Linked DNA regions of Macaca fascicularis. The protein of the gene in region 1 interacts with the protein of each later gene in a pairwise test. Links are inferred from orthologs where the notes say so. Each region holds a gene or a part of one and is shown in the gene's direction. Other genes may lie near its edges.

Region 1 (3,641 bases):
GCTCACTGAGGTAACAGGAAACTTTACATACATCAACAGATCATGATGCTTTAAGGATCGCTTGTACAGGCCATTTGGTCAACTTTTCAGACATATTAATATCATTAGTCATGTGAACTGTAGCTAATAACTATAATCAGAAAGTGGTAATTAGAAACTTAAAGTAACATATATAATTTAATGTCAACCTATTATTTTGTTTACTTCAATCATAATTACATAGAGATAATATCTTGCTTGAACAACAAAATACAAACATTTGTTCTGATAATTAGTATTTTCTCCAAAACTTGGGCTGTGTAGTCAAACATAATTAGTTTTCACTCATTTCATAAATTATCATATAAACTAAGAGAGATGATTACTCTTTACAAGTAGTACTACAAATAAATTGTCAGCAGCTTTTCCCTATAGATATTATCCAGGATATCTACTGTATTGGAAAGCCAATTATTAATGTATAAATCTCACTGATTTTAGTTTCAGATTTTAGTAACCAGAATTAGACTTGTCTCAATATTTTTGTAGTTTTTGTATCTTCTTAGCTTCACTTTGGGAATGCAGGTTTTATGAGGATAAAAGAGCATACTTGCTTTTCAAAGCATGGTTTTCTGTTGCCTATGGATTCTTAACAAATGTCAGTTGATGATAACAAATTACTGATGTTAATACTTGAGTATTTCAGTTGACTTAATGCTCATTCCAGGAAGACTGTGTCAAATGTAGATGTATTCCCAACTTGGTGAATGCATAATTGACCATCATTTTTACAGACTGCAATGCCCAAGTAACTAAGTTGAGAGTCTTAAGGTATATGAAGTGTATCCCATAGCTTTTGGCACAATATGATTAATGATTAATAAGTAAAATAAAGTGACTTCTCTTTATAAAGCTAATTATTTTTAAAAATCAGGTAACAGAAATGGAAGGATTGAAAAGATAAAGTACGACCAAATGAGGAGGCAAAGCACTGACAAGCTCAGCCTAACTTGAACTGCATCTCTATTTTCTATTACTTTTCCTCATCTCTAGCTCCCTGCCTCCTTCTCTCCCAACATCTTGTCTTTTCTGTCAGTGTCTTTGGTATATAAATCTTAAGTTTTTGATTTATGTATATATTTGATTAAACTGAAGGTGGTCAGGGAATCTCACTACATATACCAGTATTTCTTCTCATCCTTTTACACCAGCATATTTTTATTTCTAGTATATTTTAGTTAAGTTTCTTCCTCTTCCTTTTTTTTTTTTTTTTTTTTTTTTTTACTCCCGATCTCCTCAGGCCACATAATTCTCCTTCTGTTGACTATATGTAATCCATTGTTTTCTTGTGGTATATGATCTTCAGTGTGTGTATGTATGTTTTAGGTGTAGATGGACCTGGCTTTTTACCAAAGTAATGTTTCCTGTTTGATTGTCAGTATCTTCTCTACCAAGGTCCAGCCTTTTGGGGGACTTTTGGTCATGGTAATACATTTTATTCATGTCTTTATGATATGTGAGCAATGAAATACATAGGTATTAAGGAAAAATATTTATTTTCATATGATTTTTACTTTTCCCAGTGTGTGCTGTATTTGTGGGCCTTGAAAATTCTTTACCCCAAAACACTGTTTTTACTTCGTGGAAATCATGAATGTAGACATCTAACAGAGTATTTCACATTTAAACAAGAATGTAAGTATACTTCAGTCTCCTTTCTTTAACACTATATACGCTAAACAGTAATTTTAATCAGTACTAAGATACATACAATATAATCCATTGCCTAAAAGTCAAAAACTTAAAGTGACACTTTTTGATCTTATCCTATATTTCTTTCAAACCATGGACATTTATGAGAATTCAGAATTTCTTTTTAAATTAGAACTTCTTTATAAAGTGATTGAAAAATTTGAATTAAAATTTGATATAATTTATCCTAAGAAACAAATGATTTAGGGATACTACTGTTTGGAACACTAATTCTACCCATTAATCTCGCATTACTCAAGAAACGCAAATGGAGGGCAAATTCAACCTATGCCTCTGTTTTGGACCCAATAAATAAATACTAGCTTCTAGTGAATCTTATAAAACTGAAGATGATGTCATTCTTTAGACATAGACAGTAGGAGTGTGGAGTGCTTTTTTCAATTTCTTTTTCCCCCTTACAATTTTTCTTACTATTCGCTGAATCTTACAAAGGTATAAAATCTTACATTTTTGTTTTATATATAAATACAATTAAATGGAAGAGCAGGGAATCTCTCTATACATATCAATATTTTTCTCTTTCATTTAGTCCTATATTCAGTGGAGCATAAAGACTTATCCTCTTCAAACATTAGATGTAAGTCATGGGAAAAGCAATGTGCAGTGAGATAGAAGCAGCTTTAGAAAATGTCTTGCCATCTGCTTTTCTACAAAATCATTAAGGAATATCAAGCAGCTTTATGGCTGTTTTTCTATTGGTCTTCCAGTTGTTCAGTTACATTTTTTTGGTGAGACATCTGCATATAAATAGCCAGAATGTATATAAAAATTCTCTTGCTATACAAAAAGTTATGAAAATTATAAAATATGAATGAATGACAAAAACAGGAAATGCTAGATATAAAAGATTAATATGTTACTTTCAAAACATCTTAATTATATTTTGGAATTTTGCAGTATGTGCCTTTATGTTAATAATATGGTCCTGGCAAGAAAACTTCTTAAAAAACCGAAACTATTTAAGTGAAATTATCCTGCTTATAAATCATAAGTATTTTTTTTAATCACTTCTAAAAGGTAAAATAAAGTATTCAGAACGCGTATATGACGCCTGTATGGATGCCTTTGACTGCCTTCCCTTGGCTGCCCTGATGAACCAACAGTTCCTGTGTGTACATGGTGGCTTGTCTCCAGAGATTAACACCTTAGATGATATCAGAAAAGTAAGTTTTGTTATTTTCCCAGTCTAATCATTTTGTGCGCTACAGTAAAAAATAGAAGACATTAATTATCCTGTCTTTATCACTAACTTTTTCCTTTTGAGTTAAAATGATTTAAAGTGGTCATGAATCTCTCCTTTGTGTTAAATTTTTATCTAGAAAGGAAGATATATTTATACTTGGAAAAGTTTTTATCTCTTCAGCCTCAGAGTTGGTCTTACCATCTGACATGTGTCTCTGGAAATATAAAATATTTGACCTCTAAAAAAATATGCCTTATCATTTCCATTTGGCTTTTTTCAAACAAATCATTGTATAGTCATGATGTATTATGCTAGAAATGTTGCTTTGCCCTTGGGAAAATATTGTAACATAACCGTTAAACTATGTTCATTTTATGGTTTTTTAAAAATCTAGTATTTGTTACAACTTGAAACTTTTAAGTAGCAATCTAACAAGGACAATGATAATATTCTATTAATTTTATTGAGTGGATAGGTGAAAAACTGTACTTTTTAAGAAGTATTTGTAGGAAGTTTTTAAGAAGTACTCCAGTTTCGCATTGGCTATTAACAGTTTTTTAAATCAGCAAAAAGATGAGTTACATTGAATGTGGAAGTGGATTATGTCTCTTTCTTAAATAAATCTAATAACATGGGATAGTTTTATGTGGTACAATAGACAATCTTTTATTTCTTTGGTTATGTTTCTAACTCTGATGATTGCAAT
Region 2 (4,158 bases), on another chromosome or scaffold:
TCGTGATCCTCTTGAAGAAAGGAGATGAACGCGGCTGCTTTTCAGTAGTTCTTCACTGCACCTTACCAGGTTCTTCATCTGGATGCTATGCTGTGAGGGCCTGAGGAGGAGGCTGGGATTGTGATGGATCCTACTGGATTTTACAGCTGGAGCTCCCAGGAATGCCCTCATAGGGAATGTCCTGAAGGGAATCATGGGTAACTTGTAAGCTACCTCAACTTATTTTTGGAACTATGTAAGATATAAGATGGATGGAGCTGGGTTGCCGTGCCTTTCTCGCCTTGTCCGCATAGAGATGCAGCTGCTCCTGCAGGCCAAAGTTCTGCACGAATCACCTCCACCTGCTTCCCACTGGGAGACAAAGGTCTGAGAGCCTGTTTAGCGATGAACCACGATGATCTTTTTTTTTTTTTTTTTTTTTTGAGACGGAGTCTCGCTCTGTCGCCCAGGCTGGAGTGCAGTGGCCGGATCTCAGCTCACTGCAAGCTCCGCCTCCCGGGTTTACGCCATTCTCCTGCCTCAGCCTCCCGAGTAGCTGGGACTACAGGCGCCCACCACCTCGCCCGGCTACTTTTTTTTTGTATTTTTTAGTAGAGACGGGGTTTCACCGTGTTAGCCAGGATGGTCTCAATCTCCTGACCTCGTGATCCGCCCGTCTCCGCCTCCCAAAGTGCTGGGATTACAGCCTTGAGCCACCGCGCCCGGCCTACGATGATCTTATACTCAAGTCACTCCTGAGAAAGTCGGGTTTCTTTCTGTTTCCATTTCTATATGTAATTTTCGCTTCAAACAAAAATGACCTCGCTATTCCATACACAGTTTTGAATCCTGCTTTTAAAATGCGATGTCTGCCTTGTCTTTAAATATTCTGAGGGGTAGGAGAGGACATGTGTAACAGGACTGTCTATAATTTGAAACTGGACCTCACCATTTAGCGTCTCAGAAACGCGGGGTTCATTGCCCTGGCCGCTCCCCGCCTTCCCTCCGCCCCCCACCCCTCCCCGAGCCTTCGGCTGGCTCTCGCGGTCCCCGCCTCGGCGATAATGTAGTCTGGCGGCGGAGATTGGCGCCCAGGCGGAGCACGGTGGCCTTCCCCGCGGCAGGCAGGCTGCTGCTGCAGGTGGGTCCCGGCTTCCGTGCCGCCCCCCGCCTCCCGCGTCGCCCCGCCCCTGCCCGCCCGCTCGGCTCCGCTCCGCTCGCATTGGCTCTGCGGGCTGTCTGTCCCCGCGCGGTGGGGAGGGGGCGCACCCGGCGGCGGGCTCTGCAGAGGGCGCCTTGCTTCGGCTCCCTGGAGGCCTGGGCGCCGGGCCCCGCGAGCGCGCCGCCACCTTGGGAGCAGTGTTGGCCAAGGACCCCGACGCCTTACGTGAGTAAAGGCAGGGCGGGGAGCCTGCTGGAGAGGAGGGTCGGGGGCAGTGTCCGGTCAGCGGACCGCGGAGTGGGCAAGAGGCGCCCACTGGACATGGGGGATGTGAGCCCCCTGAGGTGCTGGGAGTAAGAACGCGGGAGGTCGCTTGTCCGCAGGAATCCGCGGCCAGGACGACCCTCATCAGGTCTGCCCACCTATCACCTTCGCGTTACAGCTTGTCTTAGAAGCATGGGTTGCCGGTGGCTTTTTTCCTTCTTTATCCCTCTTTGCGAAATGTGATTCTGGGTTTCTGGCCATTACATTATAATTCTGCAGACAGCTTGAAGCTGGGTTATCTGTTCCACGCCCCCGGCATTTTCCTTTTTGAGTACTTTATCCTGCGCTCTGTCTCCTGCCATAAGGGGCGTCAAGCCAGAATTCGAGATTCCTTCCTCCAGGAGGAACCTTCGTGGTCCATATCTGGTGCTGGGAAAGATGCATTGCTTTCCTCGGGTAGTGGATGTTCTTTGCTGCTTAAGGGAAAAAGGAAAGGGAGTGTTTTCTGTGACATGAGACTTGAAATTCTATCAGGAAATGAGCACAGGGACTTTAAGATTTCCTGAGGCGATAAAGCTACCCTTGCTGGTTAAGAGCGAATCCTTTGCAGTCTGACATTCTGCAAAGTTTTAATGTCTACAGACTGCATTATTTTCCCCCTTCAGTTAAGTTTCTGTTTGGGCATTCGTTTTATTTCTAGTGTGTGAGACACATTCAAGTGAGCTTCTCAAACCATTGTCTTTGCGCAATCCACGTTAGTTTCAAATGATACACTCCTGAACATCTCATTTCAATATTTCTATTATGTGGTAATACAGCCTCTGCTTAACAAAAGTGCTCAGGTGTTGAAAACTCACAAGAGGTGAGAAGATTTAAACAGAGTTATCAGCTGAGGTTCTAGTGCTCACTGAAACATAAATGTGAGGAGAAACACTGTCAAATGTCCATATTTTAGTTCCGTCATTGTTCTAGAATGACTTTATCTTTCTGTTAGAGGCATACAGTATGAAACACCCAACCTAAGAGAATATTTACTTAGATCATAAACTGATTTTCAGGGTTCCAGTTCTTTCCACAGTTCATAAAATTATGGGTTACCCACATGAAACTTCAGTGAAGGATTTACATAAAAACAATATAAAGAATGAGTCCCTTTGCTTATTTTAGGGCATCCACCCACTAAAATTCATAGGATCTTTGTTAGATAATCACTTCCCATTTCCATTCTTTGGTGCCATCATACCATTCTGAGGATTAAATTTTCAATACACCTTTGTATTATCTAACAGTTTGCCAATTGCATAGTTTATCAACCTATTTTTGGCTGTTAAATTAGTTCCTGAACCGAAAAAGCAAAATATAAAGAATTTCTTTTTTTTTTTTTTTTTGAGACTGAGTCTGGCTCTGTCGCCCAGGCTGGAGTGCAGTGGCCGGATCTCAGCTCACTGCAAGCTCCGCCTCCCGGGTTTACGCCATTCTCCTGCCTCAGCCTCCGGAGTAGCTGGGACCACAGGCGCCTGCCACCTCGCCCGGCTAGTTTTTTGTATTTTTTAGTAGAGACGGGGTTTCACCGTGTTAGCCAGGATGGTCTCGATCTCCTGACCTTGTGATCCGCCCGTCTCAGCCTCCCAAAGTGCTGGGATTACAGGCTTGAGCCACCGTGCCCGGCTTAAAGAATTTCAAAAGCTTGGTTTTCAAATAACAAGAACTCAGACTACTCTTGGTTCAATTATGAGTTGATAAGTACCTTGTGATTAAATGACCATTAATCAATTTTTAAATTTTTTTACTAATGAATATACTGCAGATTAGTATCCCCAAACAATCCATTTTCTGATGAAACTCTTAAAGCCCAGTTTCAGAACATAAGCTTTAAGCAACAAGCAATCTTTTGTTTAATCTGAGCTCTGTTACAGCTCTGCCTTAATCTCAGCCAAATTGCTTCATCTGTAGATGGTGATACCACCATCTTTGTAATACTGTGGTGAGGATTACAGATGTATGTAAAAGTGTGTGCACCGCCTAATACCCAAGAATTGCTCAATAAATGTCAGCTATTGTTACTCTTACTGACCTCCAACTATGTGCAGATTATGGTGGAAACATGTGATACAGCAAATACAGTACTTAAATGAAAATGTCAAAATTATACAACTAATTTAAGAGTGGGAAATGACAGTAATGCTAAATTTTCCTAAGAATATGTATGAAAAGTAGCACTTCCTTGATGGAACATACATTTTTAGAACAGAAACCTTATGTTATAATGGAAAAACTAGAGAGTCAAAGTCTCTAGTTCTAACTCTGGCTATGACCTTATCTAGCTGCATGGCTTTTAACAAGACAATTGCTCCCCTCTGGAGTTCAGTTTTGTCATCTGGCTGGATTTGAGTAATCTCAAATAATCTCTAAAGTCCTTTGCAGCTTTAAAATTATTTATTGAGTGTGATAAAAAATACATTAGCTTGTTTTTCATCCTGCACTTCATTTTTTGTTCTTCCTGTTATTTGCTTAATTTGCACTTTAGAGCCATAAGCAATTCACACAGACAACACAACTAAAGAACTAATAATATCAGACTTGCAGGGTAATCCAAAATGAAGTTTCAACAAAGAGGATAAAACAATAGAATCACATTGAACTCTTTAATAGGGCCAAAGTAAACCCCAACGTTTATTCTCCAGTCATTTCATTATTATATGGAAAATATGCCTGGTAGAATCTTATACATTCAGCTGAAATAGTCTCCATAG
Region 3 (4,431 bases), on another chromosome or scaffold:
GAAGGGCAGGAACTGGCAGTGCAGGGGAGATAGATATGAATCAAATCTGCACAATCACGAAAGGGAACCTGGCTCCAGGGCAGGCACAGCTGGGCTGGGAGGTGACTGACAGAGGGAGACACTGTGCCGTCGGGTCTCGGAGCCTTCATTCTTAGTTGCCTAGGCTTGTCCATCTCAGTTCCTCAGGAGCCTAGGTCTGGTCCCTGCCTCCCCACACCCAGCGAAGGGACGGCACACAGCCAGGCATGATGATTTGCCCACAGCCAGCTTGTTGAGCCCCCTCCCCATCCTGCCCTGAAGTCTCTGAGCTCTTCCTGGCTTTCTAGCCCCTCCCCAGGGATGTGCCCTCAGCAGACAGCCACCTGCACAGGCCTCCCCCAGCCCAGCAGTTGGGGCAACAGCTTTGATGGGCACGCCCACCACCCCAGCACCGGCCAGCAGCAGGTCCCATCCTGCCTCTGGAGGGTGGACGAGTGGAAGGAACGTCCTGCCCCTTCTCTTTGTTAGAGGCGGGGGAGTGGGGGACATGATACATTTCCTGCCTGTCGGTCTGGACTCTATAAGGTCAGGGGAATCTAAAGATCGCTCCATTTTTAGGAATGACTCAAGCAACAGCACACGGCTAGGACGATGACTCCATTTCCTGCAACTCTTTGCCACATTCACCAAAGGAATGTCACTTTCCTGCTCCGTGACTCAGTTTCCCCTTCTAAGCCTCCAGAAATATATAGGGCACGGGGTGTGGAGACCGTGGGCTTGTAGGGTGGAGAGGGTACCACAGGCTTGTAACAATGACATGGAAAGCACAGGGCAGGCATCTTTCTGTTCCTCCTGCCCCACTGGGCAGGTGTCTGCAGAGGCCTCCACACAGGTAGGGCTGATGGAGGGAGTGTGCCTCCTAAGAAGCCCATCTGGCCAAAAGACCTCTGTGTCCACACCGTGGGGAGCTGGGCGATTCCTCTCCCTGAAGCTTATCAAGGTCATCGCCAAACACCTGAAGCTTCCCGGGGGGTCAGAAGGCAAGCCCTGACCTCCTTGTAGGGTGCAACCCCAGGTTCACCCCGAAAGTGGGGTGCAAAGGCTTGCTTGGAGAGCAAAAGGGAACCCCCACAGCCGGAGCCACAGGGAAGGGGCACTGTATACCAGTGCCTGGGGTCCTGCACCAGAGGAGGGCGGCTGCAGACGGCGAGATGGGGCGGGGGAGCTTCTTGTCCTCGCCTCCCCTCTTCGCATCCGGGCAGCGAGGTTCACTGGAGCCGGGCCCTCCAGTATGGGAGGAACCCTGGTGCCTCTTTTCACCACCCAGGGCTGGGGTGCACGGCCGCAGGGAGCCCGGCACACAGCCCCGGAGAGGGGCGCACGGTGGGGAGCCCAAACTTGCCCCGGGACCTCCCAGGGCCTAGCGGGAGGAAACAGGCGAGCAGCGAGGGGTCGGGACCGCCGCCGAGGGCGCCGGGCGGGTCCTGGCACGCTCCCCAGGGAGACGGCGGGCGGGCCCGCTCCGCCCCGCGCCCGGCCCGTGCAATCCTGGCGCCCGCGGCCCGGCGGCTGCAGTCAGCGCCGCCCTCCAGGAGCGGGGCGGGACCGCGGGAGGCGCGCGGCGGCCCGAGCGCCGGCCGGGCCATGACCCCCGCTGCTCTCTCTTGCAGGCTCGTCGCCGCGGCCCCCCGAGCCAGACCGCCGCCGCCACCACCAGCGCCCGGGCGGGCCTCGCGCGCCCCGGGCGCGGCTCCGCAGTGAGCCCACCAGGAAGGAAGCGGTGAGTGCCCCGCGCCTCGTGCCCGCCGCCCCTTCTCCTGGACGCCCGGCTTCCTCGAGCAACGCGGCCCCTGCCGGGCGGCGTCCACGCCCCGCAAGCTCCAGCCGCTGCAGGGGCGCGGCTCGGGGGGCGGTGGGGGACCCACGCGGGCCCGGGCATCCCCCCAACTTCTTGTAGACTTTGCTGCGAAGACACAGGCTTTAGGAAACTTGGCCCGGCTCTGGCGGCGCTGTGCAACTTGCACCGGCGGTGGGGGTGTGTCCCCGCGCGGAAGCCTCTGGCCCCCACTCCCCACCGGCCACCCCGCACCGTCACGAGTTCCTTGGGAATGGACCAGAATGCCATTCCTGAGAGCTGGAAGGCAGCCCAGCGGGGGGCGGGGGCAGGAGGCCTCCCGAGGAACCATTTCCCCTCTATCGAGTATTTCCAAATCTATTATTTATGAACCGCCTCACTCAGGGGCCCCCCTGCGCTCCCAGGGCATCAAAGCATGTTTGCAACCGCAAAGGGCGACCCGTGTGGACGCACGCGCGCCTTCTCCTGGCTGGCTGCGGTCGGGCGGAACTGGGGGAGGCCTCAGTAAAAAGGGGCACCCGCAGCTCCCCCCAGGGGTAGGCGGAGGGCGGGGTCCGAGGGCAGCTGGGACTTCTCTCAGACCGCCTCTGGCTGCGGGGCCCAGATGGGATCAAGGGAAAATCTGTGCAGGCTGGACAGACTTTGGAGCCCGGAGGAAGAGGGAGGAAGGGAAGGCTGCGAGGCAAAGGCACTTCGGAGGTAGTGCAGGCCTCGGGGAACGAACGCCTCAATGTACAGGTGAGGAAACTGAGGCTCTGAGAGGCATACCCTGAGTCACAGGCTCCGGCGTTTCCTGCCTAGACCCCACCCACCCAACGCTGTGGGAAGTCCCCTGTCCTGGGCTGGGTTAACTCCAAAAAGCACCCTCACCTGTGCAGGCCACGCCCTCCTTGGGTTCTGCGCCCCCACCGCTGGGGACCGGGTCCTGCGGACGGGAGGAGGCCGTGTATTTATGGAAACACTTAATCCCTCTGCCAGCCCCAAGGAGGCTGAAAGCTCACCACCTAATCTCCTCTCCCTGGAAGCGCCTTCCCATGCCGGTGGGGTGCACCCCAGACCCACGTAGGGTGTATTTTCCCAGCCCAAGGTGTAGGTCACCTCTAGAGACTTGGGAGCGTCGCGTCAGTGGACACTGAAAAAGAGAGCAGTGATATTTCATGCTTACCGAGCACTCCTCGTGCACCAGACCCTGCGTTTTCTGTTTTAATCCCCTGACCAACTCTCCAACCAAATACTGTCAGCCCCGTTTTAAAGATGAGGAAGCAGGGCCAGGCACAGTGGCTCACGCCTGTAATTGCAGTACTTTGGGAGGCCAAAGCAGGAGGACTGCTTGAGGCCAGGAGTTTGAGACCAGCCTGGGCAACATAGTGAGACGCCCCCCACCCCCACCCCGCCCAGCTACACCAAATTTTTAAATTAGCTGGGTGTGGTGCATACCTGTAGTCCCAACTACTTAGGAGGCTGAGATAAGAGGATTCCTTAAGCCTAAGAAGTTGAGGCTACAGTGAGCTATGATCACACCACTGCATTCCAGCCTGGGCAACAGAGGGAGACCCTGTCTCTTAAAAAAAAAAAAAAAAAAAAAAAAAACCCAAAAAATTAAAAAATAAAAATGAGGAAACAGAAGTTTGTAAAGGCAAAGTGACTGACGCAAGGTCACATGGCTAGAAAATGGCAAGGCCAGGGCTGGAACCCTGAGCCATGGTACTGAATTGCTCTGACCTACAGTGGTAGCCAGGCTAGGCCTCTGGGCCTGCTGAGAATAATCCCCCATCATTAAAAAGATTAGTAAGTAATGATGGGGCCCAGGCACAGTGGCTCACACCTGTGATCCCAGTGTGCTGGGAGGATGAGGCAAGAGCATCACTTGAGGCCAGGAGTTTGAGACCAACCTGGGCAACATAGTGAGACTCCTTTCTCTAAAACAAAAAAACAAACAAACAAAATTAGTAAGAGGTTGTAAACCAAAAACAAAAAAAAACAAAAAACAAAAAAACAAAAAACACACACAAAACGAAAAACCTGAAGTCTCTCAATCATCTGAGTGGATCACTCCCCTTGGCTAAGGGCATTCCAAAGTTAACCTGAAAAGCTAGTTCAGGCCATGATGGGAAGTGGGGTCAGACATGCCTCATTATACTCTCTTCCTTTTTGAAATTCAGGCCCAGCTGACCAGCATTAACATCAGTGCAGACCTTCAGATTAATAGGAGAGTTCCTTTAAGTCTGATAAGAAACATGTACAATCTATTCTCTCTCAAGCCAAACCCCTTATGGTAACCCAGACATTCCTTTCTATTGGTTCCAGGTCTTTAGATAATAACTCTTTTGAGGTTTTTTTGTTGTTTTTTCAGATGGAGTCTTGCTCTGTTGCCCAGGCTGGAGTGCAGTGGCGTGATCTCGGCTCACTGCAACCTCTGCCTCCCAGGCTCAAGCGATTCTCCTGCCTCAGCCTCCTGAGTAGCTGGGATTACATGCGCATGCCACCATGCCTGGCTAATTTTTGTATTTTTAATAGATATGGGGTTTCACCCTGTTGGTCAGGCTGGCCTCAAACTCCTGACCTCATGATCCTCCCGCCTTAGCCTCCCAAAGTGC

The links. The genes of interacting proteins can lie anywhere in the genome.
Region 2: the proteins of PPP3CA (region 1) and AKAP5 interact in binary tests that used the Homo sapiens proteins (3 or more experiments, as listed by UniProt). The link is inferred for Macaca fascicularis from reciprocal best matches to the Homo sapiens genes PPP3CA and AKAP5.
Region 3: the proteins of PPP3CA (region 1) and C20H16orf74 interact in binary tests that used the Homo sapiens proteins (3 or more experiments, as listed by UniProt). The two-hybrid records come from large-scale screens. The link is inferred for Macaca fascicularis from reciprocal best matches to the Homo sapiens genes PPP3CA and C16orf74.

The regions. Positions count from the first base shown.
Region 1 is NC_088379.1:106,755,506-106,759,146, reverse strand, and holds part of PPP3CA (protein phosphatase 3 catalytic subunit alpha), read left to right. Parts: intron 1-1,562; coding exon 1,563-1,674; intron 1,675-2,769; coding exon 2,770-2,915; intron 2,916-3,641. UniProt on the Homo sapiens protein: Calcium-dependent, calmodulin-stimulated protein phosphatase which plays an essential role in the transduction of intracellular Ca(2+)-mediated signals. Many of the substrates contain a PxIxIT motif and/or a LxVP motif.
Region 2 is NC_088381.1:132,280,797-132,284,954, forward strand, and holds the start of AKAP5 (A-kinase anchor protein 5), read left to right. Parts: upstream 1-1,277; 5' UTR 1,278-1,366; intron 1,367-4,158. UniProt on the Homo sapiens protein: Multivalent scaffold protein that anchors the cAMP-dependent protein kinase/PKA to cytoskeletal and/or organelle-associated proteins, targeting the signal carried by cAMP to specific intracellular effectors.
Region 3 is NC_088394.1:81,645,550-81,649,980, reverse strand, and holds the start of C20H16orf74 (uncharacterized protein C16orf74 homolog), read left to right. Parts: upstream 1-1,550; 5' UTR 1,551-1,759; intron 1,760-2,464; 5' UTR 2,465-2,572; intron 2,573-2,704; exon of another isoform or gene 2,705-2,760; intron 2,761-4,431.